2 linked regions of the Canis lupus familiaris genome follow. The protein of the gene in region 1 interacts with the protein of each later gene in a pairwise test. Links are inferred from orthologs where the notes say so. Each region holds a gene or a part of one and is shown on either strand. Other genes may lie near its edges. The genes, in order: ERICH2 and MACROH2A1.

Region 1 (4,597 bases):
TGTCTCTCATGAATAAATAAAATCTTAAAAAAAAGAAATTTTTTAATATTTTAAGATTTTTATTTATTTATTCATGAGAGAGACAGAGAGAGAGAAAGAGAGAGAGGCAGAGACACAGGCAGAGGGAGAAGCAGGCTCTATGCAAGGGAGCCCGACGTGGGACTCGATCCCGGGTCTCCAGGATCAGGCCCTGGGCTGAAGGTGGCACTAAACCGCTAAGTCACCCCGGCTGCCCCAAAAGAAAGTATTAAACTAGATCTTTGCTATCCAATATGGTAGCCACTAGACACATGTAGCTGTTGAACACCTGAAATGTGACTGGTTCCATTTAAGACATGCACACCAGATTATAATGACTTAGTACTAAAAAAAGAACATAAAACATCCATTCCCTTATTCTTCTAGGTAAATATTCACTAACCAGCCAATAGGGCCAGATAGTTTTTATTTGGATTCTATAGGTCTTAAAAAACCTTCCATAAAATGAGTTACCAGCATTCAAAATTCAGATTTCACAAAATTCTCATTTTGGGTTTCTCTTGTAATATTGGAAGATGTATACATTTTCTACCACCCCATCTGTGCAATTATTTTATCCTTTCGGGCTGTCTTTATAAGCCACCTAGTATTTTAATAGGCAAAGAATGAATTAGTTACATGCTCAAGCCCTGCAACAGTGACGAGAAGACAGAGCTAATTAAGCACCATCCTCCATCCCAGGGGAGCCTGGTGTGGGCACAAGAGGATTTGGGGGCAATCTTCATTGCATAGTCTCAAATGTGTATAAAAATGGTTTCAATGATCATCTATCATTTACATTCATATTTTAAAAAGACCACATATAGGGGTGCCTGGGTGGCTCAGATGGTTAGGTGACTGCCTTCAGCTCAGGTGGTGATCTCCAAGTCCTGGGATAGAGCCCTGTGCTGGGCTCCCAGCTCAGCGGGGGAGTCTGCTGCTCCCTCTGCCTCTCCCCCTGCCTGTGCTTGCTGTCTCTCTCTCTCTCTCTCTTTCTCTCTCTCTCATGAATAAAATATCTTTTAAAAAAAGTGACTACATACAAATTTTATATATTTCCTTACAGCATAATGTCGAGCTAGGAGCCCGGACTGCTGAATCAGATTGTCTATGTTCAAATCTCAGCAAATTGTTAGTGAATTCAAGCCAGGTACCTTAACCTCTGATTCAATTTCTTCAACTATAAAATGAGGACAAAAATACGACCTACCTCATAGAGTTATTGTGAAGATTAATATAAATAGCCAATAATAAATAATAGCACCTATCTCCTACTACAATTATAATTGCTACAACTCCTCCTCCTCCTATTACCTACCACCAAGCAAGAACACTGCTGAAGGTGAACTCTAAGAAAAGCCAGTTCTGAGTGCACACCTGAGATTGAATGGAGCCATGAAGGGGGGGTGGGGGACACTGAACATTTAGCTCACCTGAGATTGGATGGAGCTGGGGCGGGGGACACACTGAACATTTAGCTCAAATGGTGGTGGTGAGAGGTGGTCACAGGAAGCTCTAGAATTCTGGAGTAGTGCAATGGGATCCCTAAAGGTGTTGGAATTCACCTCTGGAAAAAATCTTAACTTTGTTTTCCTGAGATTAAAAATAAATTAGGTGGATTTGGGGATCACTGCATTTGGTTTTTAGGAGAATGAAACAAAAGACATTTTCAATGTCTTTTTCAGATTTATTTTTAAAAAGCCACATCCAGCGGATCCCTGGGTGGCTCAGTGGTTTAGCGCCTGCCTTCTGCCTGGGGTGTGATCCCAGAGTCCCGGGACTGAATCCCACACTGGGCTCCCTGCATGGAGCCTGCTTCTTCCTCCTCCTCTCTCTGTCTCTGTGTCTCTCATGAATAAATAAATAAAATCTTAAAAAAAAAAAAAAGCCACACCCAGGGGGTCTCTTGGGGGTAAGCACATATCGGTCCAATTCACCTAATGCCCTCTGGAAAATCAAATGATAAATTTATAATCATGCCCTGTGTTAAGTGCCACAGCTGCGCAGTGCAGAATAGTTTGAGTAATCAAAGGCCATATATCTTGATTTTGGAAATCTCAAGTCAATTTTGTCACCTCACACAAGGCTGAAGACTGGACCTTAGAAGTGATCCACTGTTGGCCCCTGGTTTTACATAAGATGAAAAGGAGGCCAGGGGAGGCTCAATGATTTGTCCCAATTCCACAAGAATTCTTTATGGTCAAGTTATGTCTAGCAAGTAATGACAATATTAAGTACAGTCAGTGAACGCTGGCTCCTACTGGTCATTAAGCTGTTTCCCAAAAAAGAAGAAAAAAACAGATAAAAGAAAAAAAAGTTTGCGTGTGTGTGTGTGTGTGTGTTAAAGGAGGTAGGTGTAGGAGGCAAGGATGGAGAGAAGTAGCTGGAAGCTCTGAGATGCAACAAAGCTAATTTCACTGTTTTGGGGGGGGAGCGTGAGGCACTTGGCGCAGGCGAAAGGGCAAGCCAGAGAATGTGGTGTAGACCGGCTGTCAACTGCCCAGCCGGGGCGCCCGGGCGGCTCAGTGGCTGAGCGTCTGCCTTCCGCTCAGGTCGTGATCCCGGGGTCACGGGATCGAGTCCCGCATCGGGCTCCCCGCAGGGAGCCTGCTTCTCCCTCAGCCTGGGTCTCTCAAGAATAAATAAAATCTTAAAAAAAAAAAAAAGAAAAGAAAACAAAGCCACCCCAGAACTGCTCAGTTACCACACCCCCGCGTAGACACAGACGCTATATCCCCTCCCGAGGGCCCGCCCACAGCCAGAGGAGGCAGCCACGCTGGAGGCGCACCCCCGCCGCGCGGGTCCTACCTTTCCGCGCGCCGCTCGGGCAGCCGCGGAGCTCCGGGGCCCGCACCTGGAGGGCGCGGACAGGTGTGCGAGTTCACGGCGCGGGGCCGGGTCTGCACGCGAGGGTGGGGAGAGGCGACCCGCAGCCGCCGCGGGGCCTCTCAGACCGCTGGGCCGCAGGGCGCACACTCGCGCGGGGTTCCGGGAGGGGCGCCCTGGACGCAGCGTCGCCACGGAGACGGGCCGGCGGGCGGCGGGCGGCGGGAGCCGGGGCAGCAGCGGGGGGCCGAGGCGGAGCGCGGAGGGCGGAGGCGGGGCGAGCTGCGAGAGCCGCTGAGGGGCGGGGAGGAGGCGGGACGCGCCGGGGCAGCGGGGGCGGGCGCCGGGCGCGGGGAAGCGGCCGCGCGGAGCCTCCCGTGGGCGGTGAGGAAAGCCTGAGGAGGCGGGGCAAGTTCCGGGCCCGGCGGAGGGGGCGGGGCCGGGGGCGGGGCCGGGGGCGGAGCAGGCCTGGGGAGCCCGGAGGGGGCGGGGCGGGGGCGGAGCAGGCCCGGGGAGCCACGGCAGGGGCGGGGGTGGTGGGCGTGGCGGGGGCGTGGCAGGCCCGGCGAGCCCTGGAGGGGGGCGGGGCGAGAGGCCGGGGCTCGGGGGCGCCGGCAGTTCCGCGGCGCCGCACGTCGGGGGCGCGCGCGCGCGTTCCTCGGCGAAGGGAAGGCAGGAGGGCGCCCGGGACGCCGTCGTCCGTTCCGGATCCTGCTCTGGGGGGCACCGGGGACAGGGCGGGGTGGCCTCGCTCCTGTTTTAAGCTTGTGGAGTGAAAGGAGTCTCGAGTTGGGAGACAGAAGCTTATCTCTGGATGCGGATAAACAAACGTCGCCTGCGGCACTTGATCCCCAACTTGAGGTCGCCCCGAGAAAATCACGATTTCCCCAGAAATCGAGTTTAATATCCCAAGTCCTGGGATATGAAACGGACCTCGGCCAGTGGGAGGTTTTGGTCACAAAAGGGGGTGAGGGAACGCTTCTCTTAGAAAATTCTAATTGTACCGCAAGCTTGGCTTCCAGGAAGGAATTTGTTGCTTTTCTCCGCTTGGGATCAGGAAGTGTCCGATGGGCTTGTTGCTAGGCAACAGGTCCTGAAGGATGCCTGTTTGTGGGAATCCAATCTGGAATCGAATTTCACTAAGTAGCCACATGATATGAGGTATAATCGCTGTATAACCTCTGGGGTTAGGTACCTTCTTGGGAATATGTACTTTGGTAGATGATTGCTTCAAACAACAACATATAAAACAAAACATCTGGCGTTTAAAAGATGTTTCAGGGCAGCCCGGGTGGCCCAGCGGTTAGCGCCGCCTTCAGCCCAGGGCGTGACCTTGGAGACCGAGGATTGAGCCCCACGTCGGGCTCCCTGTGTGGAGCCTGTTTCTCCCTCTGCCTGTGTCTCTGCCTCCCTCTTTCTCTCTGTGTCTCTCATGAATAAATAAATATAATCTTTGAAAAAAATTTTTAAAAAGTGCTTCAGAAATGGTAGATTTTTATCATCCTCATCAAAATAGAACCACTAGGACCATTTCAGGAACCAAGGGTACATAGAGATTCAGTTATATTTATCTTAATCATCTGTCCATGTTCACTCAATCTCCTTGGATTCCTGGATGGAGGGAAGGAGGCAAAAAAGAAAAAAAAAAAAAAGCCAGAATGGAAGTTTTTTTTAAAGAACTCAATGAGTTATTGACAAATACCCAGTTTGATAAGGACAGAGAAAATCACTATCTTCACTATTAGAGGAGTGC
Region 2 (4,230 bases), on another chromosome or scaffold:
AGGGGCAAAAATACTTGCCCTCTAGGACTTTGAAGTCCAGTAGAGAAATAAAGAGCCTAAGAGTTGACACGTCTTATCTGACGTATAGAAGTATAATACTGTGGAGAAGAATAAGGCAGGGGAGGGGGACAGTGTAAGACGGGGTGAGGTTTCAAATTTTAGAGAAGGCCTCCCTGAGAAGGTGAGATTTAAATAAAGACATGAAGGAATTGAAGGAGCAAGTCATGTGGATGAGGCCAGGGGGGAGGAGGGGAGTGTTCCAAGATGAGGAACAGCAAATGCAAAGTCCCTTAGACAGAAGTGTCTCTGAGGTGGTCAAGGAATAGTCAAAGTGTTCTTACTACAAAAAGAAGTAATTAGGGACACCTGGGTGGCTCAGCGGTTGAGGGTCTGCCTCGGGCTCAGGGCGTGATCCTGGGGTCTTAGGATCTAGTCCTCCATCTGGCTCCAAAGGGAGCCTGCTTCTCCCTCTGCCCATGTCTCTGCCTCTTTCTCTGTGTCTCTCATGAATAAGTAAGTAAAATCTTAAAAGTCAACCCATTCCTTAAATTTACCCATTGTTATATGTCAGTTTATATCTCAATTTTTGTTTTAAGATAAAGAGAGAGAGTCTGAGTGCAAGAGCCGGAGTGGGTGGCAGAGGTAGAGGGAGAGACTCCTAAACAGGCTCCATGCCCAGCGCAGAGACCAGGAAGCCCCGCTGGATCTCACCATCCTGAAATTATGACCTGAGCCCAAATCAGGAGTTGGAGGCTTCATTGACTTAGCTGCCCAGGGATCCCTGCTTTGCAAACTTTTGAAGTGTTAAAGTAGCGTGGGGAGGGGAGGAGGTTACCTACCCCCGCTGCTGAGGGGCAGCCTGAGAGCTGGGAGCGGGTTTGATTACTTCCATAATCTCGCCGCACCGCCTCCAGCAAGGCACAGGAAGCTTCACAATTCTTCCGGGGTGGGTGGGGGGTGGGGGGTGGGGGGCGTGTATCTTTATTTAAATCTGGTCCACACCTGGGTGCTGAGATAGCCTCCCTGTTGGCAATTTGGCCAGGAAAGGGAAGGCCGTTGAGAGAAGGCCCCTATCTAGGTACCCTGGATGGGGCACTAACGCTTTGGGGCAAAAAGATCAATTTAGGAATATAGAGACGGGCTTTGTAGTGGCTCCTTCTCTTTCTGCTTGTCTGCGGTTTAAAAACAAAACAAAAAGAAAGAAAAAAACTGTGTGTGATAATCACTTTTGATGTTCGCAAATCGCAACTTGGGTCCAACCGTGAACGTTGGCGAAGTCAAAGTAGGTGACGGCTTCCACGGACAAAGCAGGTCCGGGCGTACGCGGGCCACTAAGGGAGCGGGGGGGGGGGGGTCAGGGAGCAGGAGCGGGGCGGCCGGGGCGGCCCGGGTGTCTGAGAAAGGCGACGCGCAGCTGGGCGCGCTCTGCTCGGAGGTAGGGGCGCTCGGGGCTCTCGCCTCGAGGGCGGCGTCCGGCTCTGCAGCCCCGCGCTCCGTGCCAGGCACCCCGCAGGCGCTCACGAAGGGTCGCCGGGGACGCAGGCGGGGAGGCGCGCGAGCAGAGCCGCGGCCCCGGGACCTGAGCCCCCCGGAGCGCCGGGGCGGGGGGGGGGGGGGGGGGGGGGCGGGGGGCTCGGGCCCGACGGCGCGCGTGCGGCGTCCAGCCGGGAGGCGGGGGTGCCCGCGGGCAGGGCAGGGCAGGGCAGGGCCGGGCGCGGAGGGGCGCGCGCAGCCGCGCGGCTGGGGTCAAGGCCGGGGCGCCCGGGCGGCGCGGGGGGGCGGCGCGGGGGGGCGGCGGGGGCGGGGCGGGGGCGGCCGGACGCGCGGGGCCGGCATGGGATGTGACGAGCGGCGCGCTGTGCATTGTGGGAATCCCGGGGCCGCGGCGACTGGTTCCAGTTCACTCGGCGGCGGAGCCGGGCGGAGGGGGCAGGCGCGCGGCGCGCGGGCGGGAAGCGAGGAGGCGGGCGGGCGGGCCAGCGACGAGCGCGGAGAGAAAAGGCGCGAGCGGCCGAGAGGGCACCCGGGCCGGACACCTAGCTGCTGCCGCCGCCGCCGAGCCGCCGAGCCGCCCCGTAAGTGCCGCGCGGGCGCCCTCGCGGCGCGCCGGGTCCCCGCCGTCCGGGTCCGGGGGCCGCGCTCTTCCGGCCGCGGGGCTCCCCGGGGGCGGCCGGGGCCTGGCGCGCGCGGGCGGCGCTCGGCGGGGCTCGGGGGGGCCGCGCTCGGCGTGTGGCCCACGCGGGGCCTCCCGCGCGCGCTCGGCGCCCTCCCAGGCCCCGGGCCGGCCGCGCGGGATTCTCTCTGGTTTTGTTCAAACAGCAAACCCGGAAGCCAACTTCTCTCCAAACCGCGTCCTCCGGCCGGCGCCTGGGCGCTTTTGTGGGAAGGCGGCCTTCCCGGGGCGCGGGCCGAGCCGGAGGCCCCCCGGGCAGGCCCGGGGCCGCGGGGCGCGCCGTGTGGCGGCTGGTGAGGCCCCCGCACAATGAGTCGGCCCGAGAGCCAGGTGGCGGCGGCGGCGGCGGCGGCGGCGTCTGGCTCCGCGGAGAGGGGAGGGTCGGCGGCTGGGGGCACTCGTGGGCTTGGAGCCCGGCGGGCCCGGGAGGGGGCACGCGGGAACCCCCGTTGCCCTCGTTCATCTTCTGCTCGGCCTTTTGTTTGCTTTGTGGCTGGGAGTTTTTTTTTTTTTTTTTTTTTTTTTAAGGTAACTCGGGAAGGCTGTAGGCGCCCTGGGTGGAGAAGGCCTGCAGAGAAGGGCCTCGCGGGGGGTGGGGTGGAGCGGAGCGGGGAGGTGAGCGCGCTGGATGCTGCCGGCGGTGTCACCTGACAACAGGTGTGTGGGGTGGCGCGCCCCGCCTCCGCTCCTGCGGGAACCGCGGATCCCTCCAGGATCCGGTCAGTTGATCGGAAGGTTGTTTCAGACGAGAGGTTAGGCGGAGTATTGTTTGAGTTCGAAAGCGAGAAACGTCTGTACAAACAGCTGAGACAAACTTTGAATCCAACAACTGCAATCGCCGTGAAATCCTTGTGAGGTTTTAATGATCCAATAAACAGCATATAAAAGTAGACAATTAGAGGGGCATTCCTGCTAACTTCTCCTTTTCTTCCACCTTTGCGGTTTGAGGTTTTGCCTTAAAGAAGGGCAGAAGTACTTTGTCCCAGGCTCCCTTCTCGTTGGACTGGGGGAATTTCAGGCAGGTTTAGGTTTGAATGGGAGACTCTAGTTGTAAGTCAGGTGGACTCTACCTACTGCGGGCCACCTTTAGTGTATCATTCTGCCTTCAGAGGAGTTACTGGCTCTGAAATGGCCACCTCACGCTTGCAGCTGGAATTTATACCTCTTGTACACACACAACTGAACAAAGTTGGGCAGTGTCATTCCAGTCTTGCACAAGAGCCTCTCCAGTGGGGATAAATACGTTTTCAAACCTTATTTTTTTTTTCCTAAGAAAGAAAAAAAACACCCTAACCAAAAACCCTCAATCTTAAAAATTCTTCCGCTGTTCTAGTTTTAGGAGAGTGGGAAATCTCTTCATTCTGTAATTTTGTTTTAACCTGTCACCGTTGTTAATGCTTGATCACTAGATAAAGGCATTAGGAAGGACGGAAGAATTTAAGTGAAAATTATTTGAGGTAGGGCCTTTAGAATGAGGAGTGGTCTGGGACATCACTTGTAAGACTATAACACACAGCCCTAAGTCACTGGTGTGGTCTGTACCAAAGGGGCCAGGCACAGGAAGTGTCCATCTCATTCTGCCATTTTTTCTAGTTCTTCTAGTTCTGCGACAGCAGAACTCCAACAGCCCTTTTCCTTTTTCCAATAGAAAGTCTTGGAATACGTGTATTCTGGGACCTGCCTCTAATACCTTCAGAGCTAATGCTGCCCCCAGTCATCTAAGGGTGATTTATTTAAATAAAAGTGCAAACCCCAAGCTAGCAAAACCACAGTAAGAACCTATTATATGTGCTGTTGATCAGAATTACAGCAGCTTCTACTTTTTGTTGGATTATGCCTTTGGATTTGTGTTAGGTTTTTCAGAGCCCCATTCTTGGCATATAGGCTGGGAAGGAGCAGGGGCAAGGGGGACCCCACACCTGCCCTGTAGGTAGGTCCTCCCCACATTCTACAGTTTTAGAAGTACATTGGGGGCCATCCCAGCTCTTTTGAGTGAGCCCAAGTGGGTCCCAAAGAATTGTATAGCTTGTTTGCTTGGATCAAGCCTGCCAGATTGG

Evidence for each region.
Region 2: the proteins of ERICH2 (region 1) and MACROH2A1 interact in binary tests that used the Homo sapiens proteins (3 or more experiments, as listed by UniProt). The two-hybrid records come from large-scale screens. The link is inferred for Canis lupus familiaris from reciprocal best matches to the Homo sapiens genes ERICH2 and MACROH2A1.

Annotation. Positions count from the first base shown.
Region 1 is NC_049257.1:15,608,383-15,612,979, reverse strand, and holds the start of ERICH2 (glutamate-rich protein 2), read right to left. Parts: upstream 2,967-4,597; 5' UTR 2,827-2,966; intron 1-2,826.
Region 2 is NC_049232.1:23,466,070-23,470,299, reverse strand, and holds the start of MACROH2A1 (core histone macro-H2A.1), read left to right. Parts: upstream 1-1,265; 5' UTR 1,266-1,282; intron 1,283-1,293; exon of another isoform or gene 1,294-1,311; intron 1,312-1,346; exon of another isoform or gene 1,347-1,435; intron 1,436-1,874; exon of another isoform or gene 1,875-2,075; intron 2,076-4,230. UniProt on the Homo sapiens protein: Variant histone H2A which replaces conventional H2A in a subset of nucleosomes where it represses transcription. Nucleosomes wrap and compact DNA into chromatin, limiting DNA accessibility to the cellular machineries which require DNA as a template.